Schizosaccharomyces pombe: one gene and its partner. The gene in region 1 interacts genetically with each later gene. Each region holds a gene or a part of one and is shown in the gene's direction. Other genes may lie near its edges. The genes, in order: mug14 and toe4.

The links.
Region 2: mutations in mug14 (region 1) and toe4 together harm fitness less than expected from each alone (positive genetic interaction), as found in Schizosaccharomyces pombe (one large-scale study listed by BioGRID).

What each region holds. Positions count from the first base shown.
Region 1 is NC_003423.3:126,475-130,419, forward strand, and holds mug14 (adducin, involved in actin cytoskeleton organization), read left to right. Parts: upstream 1-2,135; 5' UTR 2,136-2,350; coding exon 2,351-3,124; 3' UTR 3,125-3,268; downstream 3,269-3,945. Other genes in the region: multi drug resistance-associated protein abc3, read left to right, coding at 1-670. UniProt on the Schizosaccharomyces pombe protein: Has a role in meiosis.
Region 2 is NC_003424.3:115,366-122,357, reverse strand, and holds toe4 (transcription factor), read left to right. Parts: upstream 1-2,124; 5' UTR 2,125-2,249; coding exon 2,250-4,163; 3' UTR 4,164-4,297; coding exon of another isoform or gene 4,298-5,665; 3' UTR 5,666-6,304; downstream 6,305-6,992. Other genes in the region: SPOM_SPAC11D3.08C (amino-acid permease), read left to right, coding at 150-1,802; SPOM_SPAC11D3.06 (MatE family transporter), read right to left, coding at 4,298-5,665; mfs2 (MFS family membrane transporter), read right to left, coding at 6,638-6,992.

The sequences.
Region 1 (3,945 bases):
AAATAACATTAACATTGAAATTTCCCCACGGGAAAAGATCGGTATCGTCGGTCGCACCGGGGCAGGAAAATCAACTTTGGCGATGGCATTGTTTAGAATAATTGAACCAACTGAAGGAAAAATTGAAATAGATAACGAAGACATAACGAAATTTGGATTATACGACTTGCGCTCGCGATTATCTATCATTCCACAAGAAAGTCAAATATTTGAGGGCAACATTCGAGAAAATCTTGATCCGAATCATAGACTAACTGATAAAAAAATTTGGGAGGTATTAGAAATTGCTTCTCTAAAAAACTGCATTTCTCAGTTGGAAGATGGATTGTATTCTAGGGTTGCTGAAGGAGGTGCAAATTTTTCGTCTGGTCAACGCCAATTAATATGTTTAGCAAGAGTTTTACTTACTTCGACCCGTATATTATTGCTGGATGAGGCAACAGCATCAGTCCATGCTGAAACTGATGCTATTGTACAGCAGACCATTCGCAAACGCTTCAAAGATCGTACAATTTTAACAGTTGCACATAGAATTAATACGGTAATGGATTCAGATCGCATCTTAGTCTTAGATCATGGAAAAGTGGTTGAATTTGATGCAACTAAAAAATTGTTGGAAAACAAAGACTCGATGTTTTATTCGTTGGCTAAAGAAAGCGGTCTCATTTAATAATTTTTAATCGTTCTTTACCTGTATTACAATAAATCTAGATATCATATCATACTTGCAATTGAAGCTATTGGTTTTTTACACGTTCAGAAAAATATATATATACAAAATGAAGTTTTCTTTATGTTTACATGATAATTTTGTTCGTAAAAGCAGTATCACTGATATCTACGGTTTAATTCGCTAACTTTTTGGTTATCTACTCTTCTTTGTACGTTTAGCCTGATATTCTTGTGGTAATGAATGAATACTTAAATTTTTGGAAATGAATATGATTAGATTATATGGCGCAGTACAACAAATAGATTTAAAATAACTCATACAGTATATTAAAAAGAAAATCAAACGTAAAGGCTTCGGGATATAAAGTGATCAAATTTCTAAGAAAAAAAAGCGTTAGCATTCGAGGAGGGTAAGTATGATTAGATGTTTACTTGAAATTAGAGTGTTAAAAAATATGGCTTTATATCAAATAAAATATCGTTGCAAAACCGTGCAATGCTTCGTCAAATTGACATTCACCTAGACTTTACTAGTTTCATTCGCGTATTAGATTTCCTGTTAACTCAAATAGAACGATAATATTCTGGTACCGTAGCAATTCATAAAATTAAATTCGGCGGAATAACGAAAGTTGTAATTATTAAGTCCTAACGTCTCTATCAAAAGTTAGCACCAGCCTTAACATCATTGCGTACATTTTCTTTCTAAACTTTTAGGGTAACATTTTGGAATATACTAATGTTTACAAATTCAATACCAAGCTACATCGCTCCAGAACGATCTAGTGAACTTAAAGGCATTGCTTCCAAAAAAATAAAATATTTTTCCTTAAAATGCCTTTCAGAGCAGTCAATAAAAAAATAAAAAATCGAACAAAGGAACATGAAAAGAAGCACGAAAAAAACCTATATAATTTGCTTCATTTGAAGTGTAGAGAGTACTTTACTTTTAGTGAAGAATCGTTAACAATTCCTATTGTAAGTTTGTTAGCTTCTATTTATGATGTCACTGTAATTAAATTGATCTGTCCAATAATATTGATTGAATTAACCTTGATCATATAAAGTTGAAAATGCGGAGAAGATCGTGAAGAACCAGAGCTTTTGTGAGCTTGGTAAGGTTAACCGGGGAACCTTCGCAACATGAACGAACTTTAATAGCATTCTGCGATTTAAATCTTATTTGCTGTTTTTTAAAAAAGCAAATTATAACTTAAAATATTAAGACCCCCATGTGACAAAACAGTTCTGGCCTTTTAAAAAAGACGGTTTTTAGTATCTTAAGCAAGAAGAACTTGTTGAAATTTGCTTGAGAAAATGTGCGTTACAAGCATTTTTATTAACTGAAAATGTTCAGTTGTTCTTAATAAGCATTAAATCTAATTTGTGTTACTGTTTGTTTTATGAAAATGAATTCAATCATGTATTTACTTTAAAGTTTTTCACTACTCCACGAACAGGCCAGCCAACCCCTCATCGTTTCGAACCCCTCTATTTCGAAAGGGTAATTATCAACAAAGGAATCAAAATTTTATTTATATACATACTCTGTTCACGAATGAAATTGTCTTTATTTTCTGAAGCTATTAAAAGTGAATTACAATAATTCGCCTATATCTGCACTGTCGAAATACCAAAGAAATTAATATCATTTTGAATTATTTTTTTTTAATACAAAATGGCTAAAGTAACTGGATTGCCTGAATTTGAAGACTTACATACTAAAAGAAAATGGATGCTTAATCATATGGCTGCAGCTTTTCGCATGTTTGGTAGAAATGGATATAATGAAGGAACAGCAGGACATGTTACTGTAAGGGATCCAATTGATGAGAATACTTTTTGGATAAATCCTTTGGAAGTCCCCTTTTCCTTGATGAAGCCTAGCGATTTGGTTCATATCAACAGCGATGGCGAAATCATTGGTGGAAGCAAGATGAAGTATAATACTTCGGGATTTGCCATCCATTATGAAATGCACAAAGTGCGACCTGAGGTAATTTGTGTTTGTCACGTACACTCAATTTACGGTAAGGCATTTTCAGCTTTGGGAAAGCCATTGGATATGTTGAACACAGACTGTTGTGTGTTTTATAATAATCATGGAATTTATTTTGACATGGATGATGTGATATCGATGCCAGAAGAAGGAAGACGTACCGCTAAAGGATTAGCAGATTATAAAGCTGTTCTTGTTCAGAATCATGGCATTATGACAGTTGGTACTACTGTGGATGAGGCAGCATATCTTCTTTCATTGATGGAGCGATCATGCCAAATTCAGTTGTTAATTGATAGTGCAACCAAGGTGGGAGAAAGAAAGCACGTTCATCCCACTCGTGCCAAAGCTATTCGCGAAAATGCTGATAACCCAGTGGGTCTATACACTGCTCAACAACCCAACTTTTTGTATGAAGTTGCTTGTTCAAATGGGGAACTAGAAATAATTTGAGTAATGCATTTGTCTGATACGTTCTTACCTCAACTCTACTGTACGTTTTTACAGTATTTGTAGCAAAAATTTAAAATTCATTTATGTCCTTTTTTTGCTATTTAAAGCCTATGTAATGTCAATTAAATTTTTACAAACTCCCCTTTAGTTAAAACGCAAAATATAGCGTAGAATGTAACTTTTGAAAGGTACTTTAACGTAACAATGTTTACGAACCATTTCAAATATTACGATAATTCGTTAAATTATGGTTTCAGATGACTTTTAATATTCATTTGGGTTGTGCAGTTTCTTATGAGTGAATAGCGTTGAAAAGCAGTGCGTTGTTATATTGCAGCGTGTAGGCAACTGAATAATAGGAGATGAAAATAATTCTCATTGAAGTAATAGAATCTATCATTGAAGTTCAAGTCGTATTTGATGCACTGTAAATAAAATATTTTTTGGAGTCTAGCAAGTCTAAATAATTACCATCTTTTGTGTGGCAAATGCATCGCGGCGTAGCGAACGCTGCTAACATACCATTTTTTTCAAATTGATGCGCATTAATAAAATAGCCAGTGTTCAATAAGGACCGAGTTTGCTTTATTGTATATGATTACAGAGAAAATAAAATATTTTTGCTTTTTTTTTGTTATTTTCTATCATCGGCTTAATAATGATTTTATTTGGCTCATGAAAACTGATTATGAAGCTGAAGCACTCTCTTATATATATAAATGAATGAATGGCGCTACTTTATGGCATGTTCGTTTATTTGTTTAACTCTCATTGTTTTATCATAATGTAGTAATTCCTTATATACTAAAGTTATTCCAAAA
Region 2 (6,992 bases), on another chromosome or scaffold:
GCTATTTCGGCTTGGAGGAGTTGACATATAGATCTTTAGTCTTATTCAAAATATTTGGTATAAAATATTTACGAGCTGCTAATTTTGCTAAGACCAATTTGCTTTGAGAGTTTTCTGCTTGTAAGGACGACTCACATTCAGCATTTACAATGAGTGACATCGACAAAGAAAGCTTAAAACAAAATCAGAAGCAATGGGAAAATGAAGTTGAGTTGGGCGAAAGCAGAGAAGCTAATCAAGATGATGAGCTTCTGATGAGCCTTGGTTACAAACCAGAATTCACTAGAGAATTCTCTTACGTTAGCATTTTTGGTCAATCGTTTGGATCAATGGGTCTTTGTCCGGCTATGGCGGGTTCACTCATTTTCTCGATGAACTGTGGAGGAGGAGGCATGGTTTGGTCATGGATTATTGGATGTATATGTCTGATTCCAGTAAGTATATCATTGGGCGAACTGGCGTCTTCTATGCCTACTTCTGGAGGTCTTTATTTTTGGATTTTTACCCTAGCATCACCATCGTCAAGAGCATTTCTCTGCTGGGTTTGTGGTTACGTGTCAGTGCTTGGCTACGCTACGATTTATGCTTCAACAGTGTACTCTGCATCATCTATGGTACAGGCACTAGCTGTGATAGGTAGTCCTTCTTATTCACCTACAAAATATGAACAGTACGGAATTTACGCAGCGTTGCTTTTCGTGATTTCTGCCATGACTGCAATTCCCTCTCGTGTTATCGCGAAGGTGAACATCATTAATATTACCTTCCAATTCCTTGTATCCATTATTCTTATTATTGCCCTTGCCGCAGGATCTGACTCTACTACTAGAAATTCTGGAAGTTTTATATTCGGTGATTTTACAAATTATTCTGGATGGTCAAACATGGGATGGGCATTTATACTTTCATTCACTACTCCTGTGTGGGTTGTAAGCGGATTCGAATCTAGCGCCGCTGTTGCTGAAGAATCAACGAATGCTGCCAAAGCAGCTCCCTTTGCTATGATTTCCAGTCTTGGTGTGGCTACCATTCTTGGATGGTGCATCGTTATCACCGTTGTAGCTACTATGGGTCACGATTTTAATGCCATTCTAGGTTCCTCTTTAGGCCAGCCTGTAGCTCAAGTACTGGTTAACAATGTTGGAAATAAGGGAGCTTTAGGAATTTTCTCTTTGCTGGTCATTGCCCTTTGTTTGAACTGCATTTCGTTACTGATTGCTGCATCTAGAGAAGTATTTGCTTTCTGCAGAGACGGCGGGATTCCAGGAAGTAGATACTTACGTCTTTTGACTAAACAGAAAGTTCCCTTAAATGCAATTCTTTTAGTGCTACTCTATAGCCTTTTAGTCGGTCTACTAATTTTGGTTAATGTCACTGCCATTTCTTCTGTGTTTAATTTAGCAATTATTGCTCTTTATATCGCTTATTCCGGCCCTCTTATGTGTCGATTTGTGTACAATAAATTTCAACCTGGTGTTTTCTACGTTGGAAAATGGAGCAAACCAGCAGCCTTATGGTCATTAGTTTGGATGTGGTTTATGATTCTTATGCTTTTGTTTCCTCAATATCAAAAGCCCAACCAAGATGAGATGAATTGGGCTATAGTGGTCCTTGGATTTGTAATGGTCTTTTGCGTGGTGTATTATTATTTGCCAAAGATTGGTGGTAAAACTTTTTTTACAGGTCCAATACCTACTGTTCAACAGGAGAACGAGTACATATCTGGTGTTCCACTAAATGAACTATCTTTAAGCAGTTTACCTTTGCCAAAAGATTTTGACCAGAAGCAAATCACAGAGTAATTTAACCTGAGTGTTATACTTTTCTTAACTCTTCTTTTTGGCAACAGCTACGCTGTTTCATTGTATTTTTACTGTGCTTTTATAATTGTATGTTTATTAACAGTTCTTTTTTATTCTTTTGTTCCTAGTCTTAGTTAAATAGCTTAATATTGTTTTAATGTCTTTTAATGAATTAGTGGCTCTGTTATCATTATCAGTAATATAAGATTATATAAAATTTTTTTTATCTTTCGAGTACGTATACTTATCGTCTTGTCCAGATTTTCTTATCATCACTTCCCTTATAACCTATACTTAAGCACGACTTGAGTAGTGCTAAAATAAATCTGCAGATGTATATGCTTTTTAACAGTAAACTGCACCAAAGGCGGTAATGCTTGCTTACAATTGATACGCATTCAGCTAGAATTTAAGATAGTTGTTTAATTACTCTTTTCTTAACATAAGATGTCTCAAAATAAAGCATGTGATCTTTGCAGGTTGAAGAAGATTAAATGTAGTCGAGGGCAACCAAGATGTCAGACTTGTACTCTTTTTCAAGCGGACTGTCATTATTCTAATCGTGCTCGCCGTAAGAGACTTGTTCAAAGAAGCAAGGAGACGTTTGGGGGAATTACGTTACCCGTGTTTGATTATGCCGCTGGTATTAACGGCAATGAGCCAGAACCGAGTGATCACTCAATTCCAAATCAAGAAAATTTTGCATTAACTACTAATGGAACTATTAGTAAAAACATTGAAAAACCCGAGGATGGTGAAGAATCCGTTCAGAGACGCCTTAAATTGCTTGAAGAAAAAATCGATTTGTTGTTAGATATAGCTACTGAAACTTCAGAATTTAAACGTGAAAATAAGGCTATTGAATTACCTTCCTTGGTTACACAAATTAAAGATGCAGAATCGATTGTTATTAAACACAGACAAGGTAGCCCTGTCGACAATACACCTACTCGGATACTGAATGTGGAAAGCTTGTTCCCTCCACAGTTGCCGGACTGGGAGAAGGCATTCCATGACATTCCCAAGAAGGAAGTAGCCCATGAGTTAGTCACGTCTTACTTTCAGCATGTAAATTGGTGGTGGCCTACCTTCGTATATAATGATTTTATGTATGAGTTCGAACGTCTTTATGCGTTCGGGTTCCATAGCAATAATGCTTGGCTAATTTCTTTTTATTCTATTTTAGCATTAAGCAGCATTAGGAAAAGACTTGGTAACTCAAAGACGCTTGCAGAGTCTTTGTTTTCAACAGCTTGGGTTTTTGTTCAAAAGTCCGACTTTTTTCTTACTCCGAGCATTGACAAAGTTCAGGCTTTAATTGTCATGACACAGTACGCAGCTTACCTGTCTAGCTCTTCTTTATGTCGGACTTTGTGCGGCCAAGCCTGCCTCATGGCCCAACAATTAAACTTACATAGAAAGCAATCCACTGATGTGGAGCCTGAAAAGGCTGAATCGTGGAAAAGGATATTTTGGATGTGTTATATTCTCGATAAAAATATTTCTTTGATTTTTGGAACCCCTTCCGTTTTTAACGACAAGGATATTGATTGTAATTTGCCTGATAGCAAATATGAGCTTTTGTTTGGTGTACAATCTGGTGGTGATTTGATATTTGTTCCTACCGTATCGTTGACAATAATTCAGAGTGAAATACGAAATCGACTATACAGCGTGAAGTCACCTACGCAAATGGCAGCGAGAGAAAAAATCATCATACCAATACATCAAAAATTGAAAGCGTGGGAAGAAAACCTTCCTTCTGAAATAAAAATGTATCATGAAATGTTGCTAAACAACACTTTTTCTCCCACTATATCGCTTAGCGATCGGTTCGAATTTTTAACTTTCGCAGGTATGGAAGTTTACTTTTCTTACTTAAACACTTTAATTATATTACACAGACCTAGCTCGTCGACAGAGAATCGAAGGATTTGTATTAATGCAGCCCGTGAAGCAGTTCAATTGTTAAAAAATAGACTCAACATTGATCTCAGGGTCAATGTTAAAGCAGATCCGCTATGGATATTCCTATACTGTCCTTTTACACCTTTTTTAATAATATTTAATAACCTTGTTCACGAAACTGATACGGAAACGGACTCAGAAACATTACTTAACGATTTGGATCTTTTACATGTAATTTACGATTTTTTTATGGAAATGGAGCCAGTTAGTGACGTGGCTTTGGAACTTGTCAAAATTGCAGACAAACTTTTGCGGGTTGCTAAAGAAGTTTGCAGTGCCAAAAATAATGATGTTACGGATTCTACTTTTAAAGATATCGTTGAAGGTTTTGAACTTAACGACTTAAACAGTTGGGATTTTGACAGAGTAACCAATGTTATGAGGAATCTTTAAAAAAATATGAAAGTAACGTTGTTTTATTAATAATTTATTTGCTTTAATGTACATGGTGAACATCATTACCGGTTAACAATGAAGCTATTATCAAACTATTTTGCTTGATCAACTACATGCATCGACCCAAATGTCTAATTGAGTAGTGCAGTCAATTCAGAGGAGTCACCAAATCTTGAGATTGCCTTTCTTGATTGGGAAATCCAGTCAGTTGCCATTACAATTTTCAGTTCTAAAATTCCGACTATGGATAACGCTATTACCTGTCCAATCCAAAGACCGACAAGACCTTTGCCATGGAAGGCTAAATAAATTCCTAGAGGCAGAGCAAACAAATAGTAGGCAGTAATGTTAACTATAGCGCCAACCTTCTGTCTTCCCGTGCCTCTTAAAGCTCCTCCCATTGTACCATTCAAGGAATCTGATATTTGGAAAGCAGCTACTAAGGGCATTACAAGAGCAACCAGCTGAATGACATCTGGATCATTTGTGAAAATCCGTCCATAGATATTGCGTACGGCAATCATGGTAATCATGATAACGCTTCCTACTGCAACACCTACAATTGCTGCGACCTTAGCAGTTAGAGAAGCATTGTCAGGTAACCCAGCTCCGAGATAGTAGGCAACTCGATTAGAAGTAATTATTCCGAGACCGAAAGGAATTGTGTTAAGTAATTGATCTGTGGTCATAATTACTGATTGAGCGGCAAGTGGTACAGCACCAAGTTTACCAGCAACTAGTGCTACTATTTCAAAAGCCCACCATTCTGTTCCCACCATAACGATACCCAATAGTGATAACTTTACAAAAGGTCCAAAGTTCTCTAAGCATCGTTTATTCCAACCATTCCACGCCTCTGCCCCTTTTACGTATTTCGCATATTGAGTTAATAAAATGAATGAAAGCCAGTACGATAATCCAGTTGCCAATGGAGCGCCTTTTAAACCTAATCCATAATAATGGACAAGTAGAAAATTTAAGGCGACATTAAGAGGAGAGGTAACTAGAAGAATATAAGAACCAGCCCTAGTGATTTCTTGTGTTTGCAAAAACTTTTTTAGCAATTCAAAACATACATAACCTAGTCCGCCTGGGATAAGGTATCGTAAAAACTTTTGTGAAGCTTCAGCTAATTCAGGTGTTTGATGCAAGAAAATTAGGATGGGTTTAGAATACCACCAAACTAAACATATTGGCAGATATAGAATACTGAGCACGATGAAACCCGTTTGCAATAGAATTCCCAATTCTTGTTTTTTTCCGGCTCCCCAAAGGTTGGAGCCAAGTGTGTCAAAAGCAGTAGTTCCACCTAGAGCAATCAGCCAGCCTGTGCTCATCGCAAACATGTACGCAAAAGCAGCTACGGAAAGCTCGCTTGGTCCAAGGCGCCCGGTTACAATAACTGAACTAGTTTGCAAAGAGTTTTGCAAGGCATATCCAAGGATTACCGGAGCTGAATTTATCAAAAGGTATTTCACCTCTGTAAGTGGTCTACCCATAATAGTGCTTTCTCAGAGAAAATTTGGATATACGGTGTATTTTTTAATATAAATAAAGAGTACTTCTTAATGTCTGTTCACCGAAGGTTCAAATTTTCCTTTAATAAAAGTTTACTAAGCTTTTATCATATTGATTGAACGGATGGAACCATAAATTTATATCAGAGAACGCTTAGAAGCCGCACATTTAGGGCATAAAACTTCAGATGTCATGGCTAAACATTAGTATATCCGTGGAGATACGGAAATTTAGAAATACCCACGCAAAATATTTTTCGCTTAGCCAACAGACATTGGGAATTCTCGCCGAGTTTTTGCTAACTTAAATGATAGCAGTTAGCATATTTTGCCGGTGAAAATATTATTACCGTCTCACTCCGCTGGTTAAAAATAGTAGGTAACAAATCGGTTGCAGACTAAGAAGCTATTGACTCGCACGTTATTCTTAATTTGTTGAAATTAGTACAAAAATTTGAGCATGAAAGCGAATAAAGAGTACAAAAAATATTTTGTAATTTTACCTTGCATACTCATTGACTGTTAATAATTATAACACTTACCGATGGTGGTAAAATATATAGCAGAAAATAGCTTGGTGAATTTATTAGTCAATAATGATTTGAACAAACATTACAGAAAAAACGATTTGTAATTTCCCAAATAACTGTGTATAAGTATGAATCCAGTTGTTTGGCGTACGCATATATCATTCTCGGTTAATTTTGCTTTTCAAAAGTTTATATTTAGATTGCTGTGACTTTTAGAATGCAACACGAAATAACTTTAAATCTTTACGTTTTTATTAAAACTTTCTAAATTAGTTTATAAACATCCATTCGTTCTTTAAATAGAATAAGCACCAAAATTCATCTTTGCTTGCAATCACTCTCTTACTATATAGATATATGCATGATATGACAATTATAATCAACATTAAATAAACACAACAACAACAAATAATCACACTTGTTCTTACAATTTGTAAGCGTTTTTGCTCCACGCACGAATGCTCTTGCCAAAACGATAAAATATAAAAGGAATGGGAACCATCGCTACAGAAATAAAACCAAGCACACTAGTAGCCCAGTGATCTCCTAAATTAAGGTACATAGGCCTGGCCACCATACTTATGCCTCCACTGGCAGAATAGCGAACTAGAGTAGCTGCAGCTAAAGCGCTCGGTGCCATATGTTGATACGAATCAATAATGTAATTGTATGAAACGAAAAAAACTATTAATAAGGAAAACCCAAAGAAAGCGCTTGCTATTATTGGTACAATCCAGTGAATGTGATGTGGATAACATGTCCATGCAAACCAAAACATT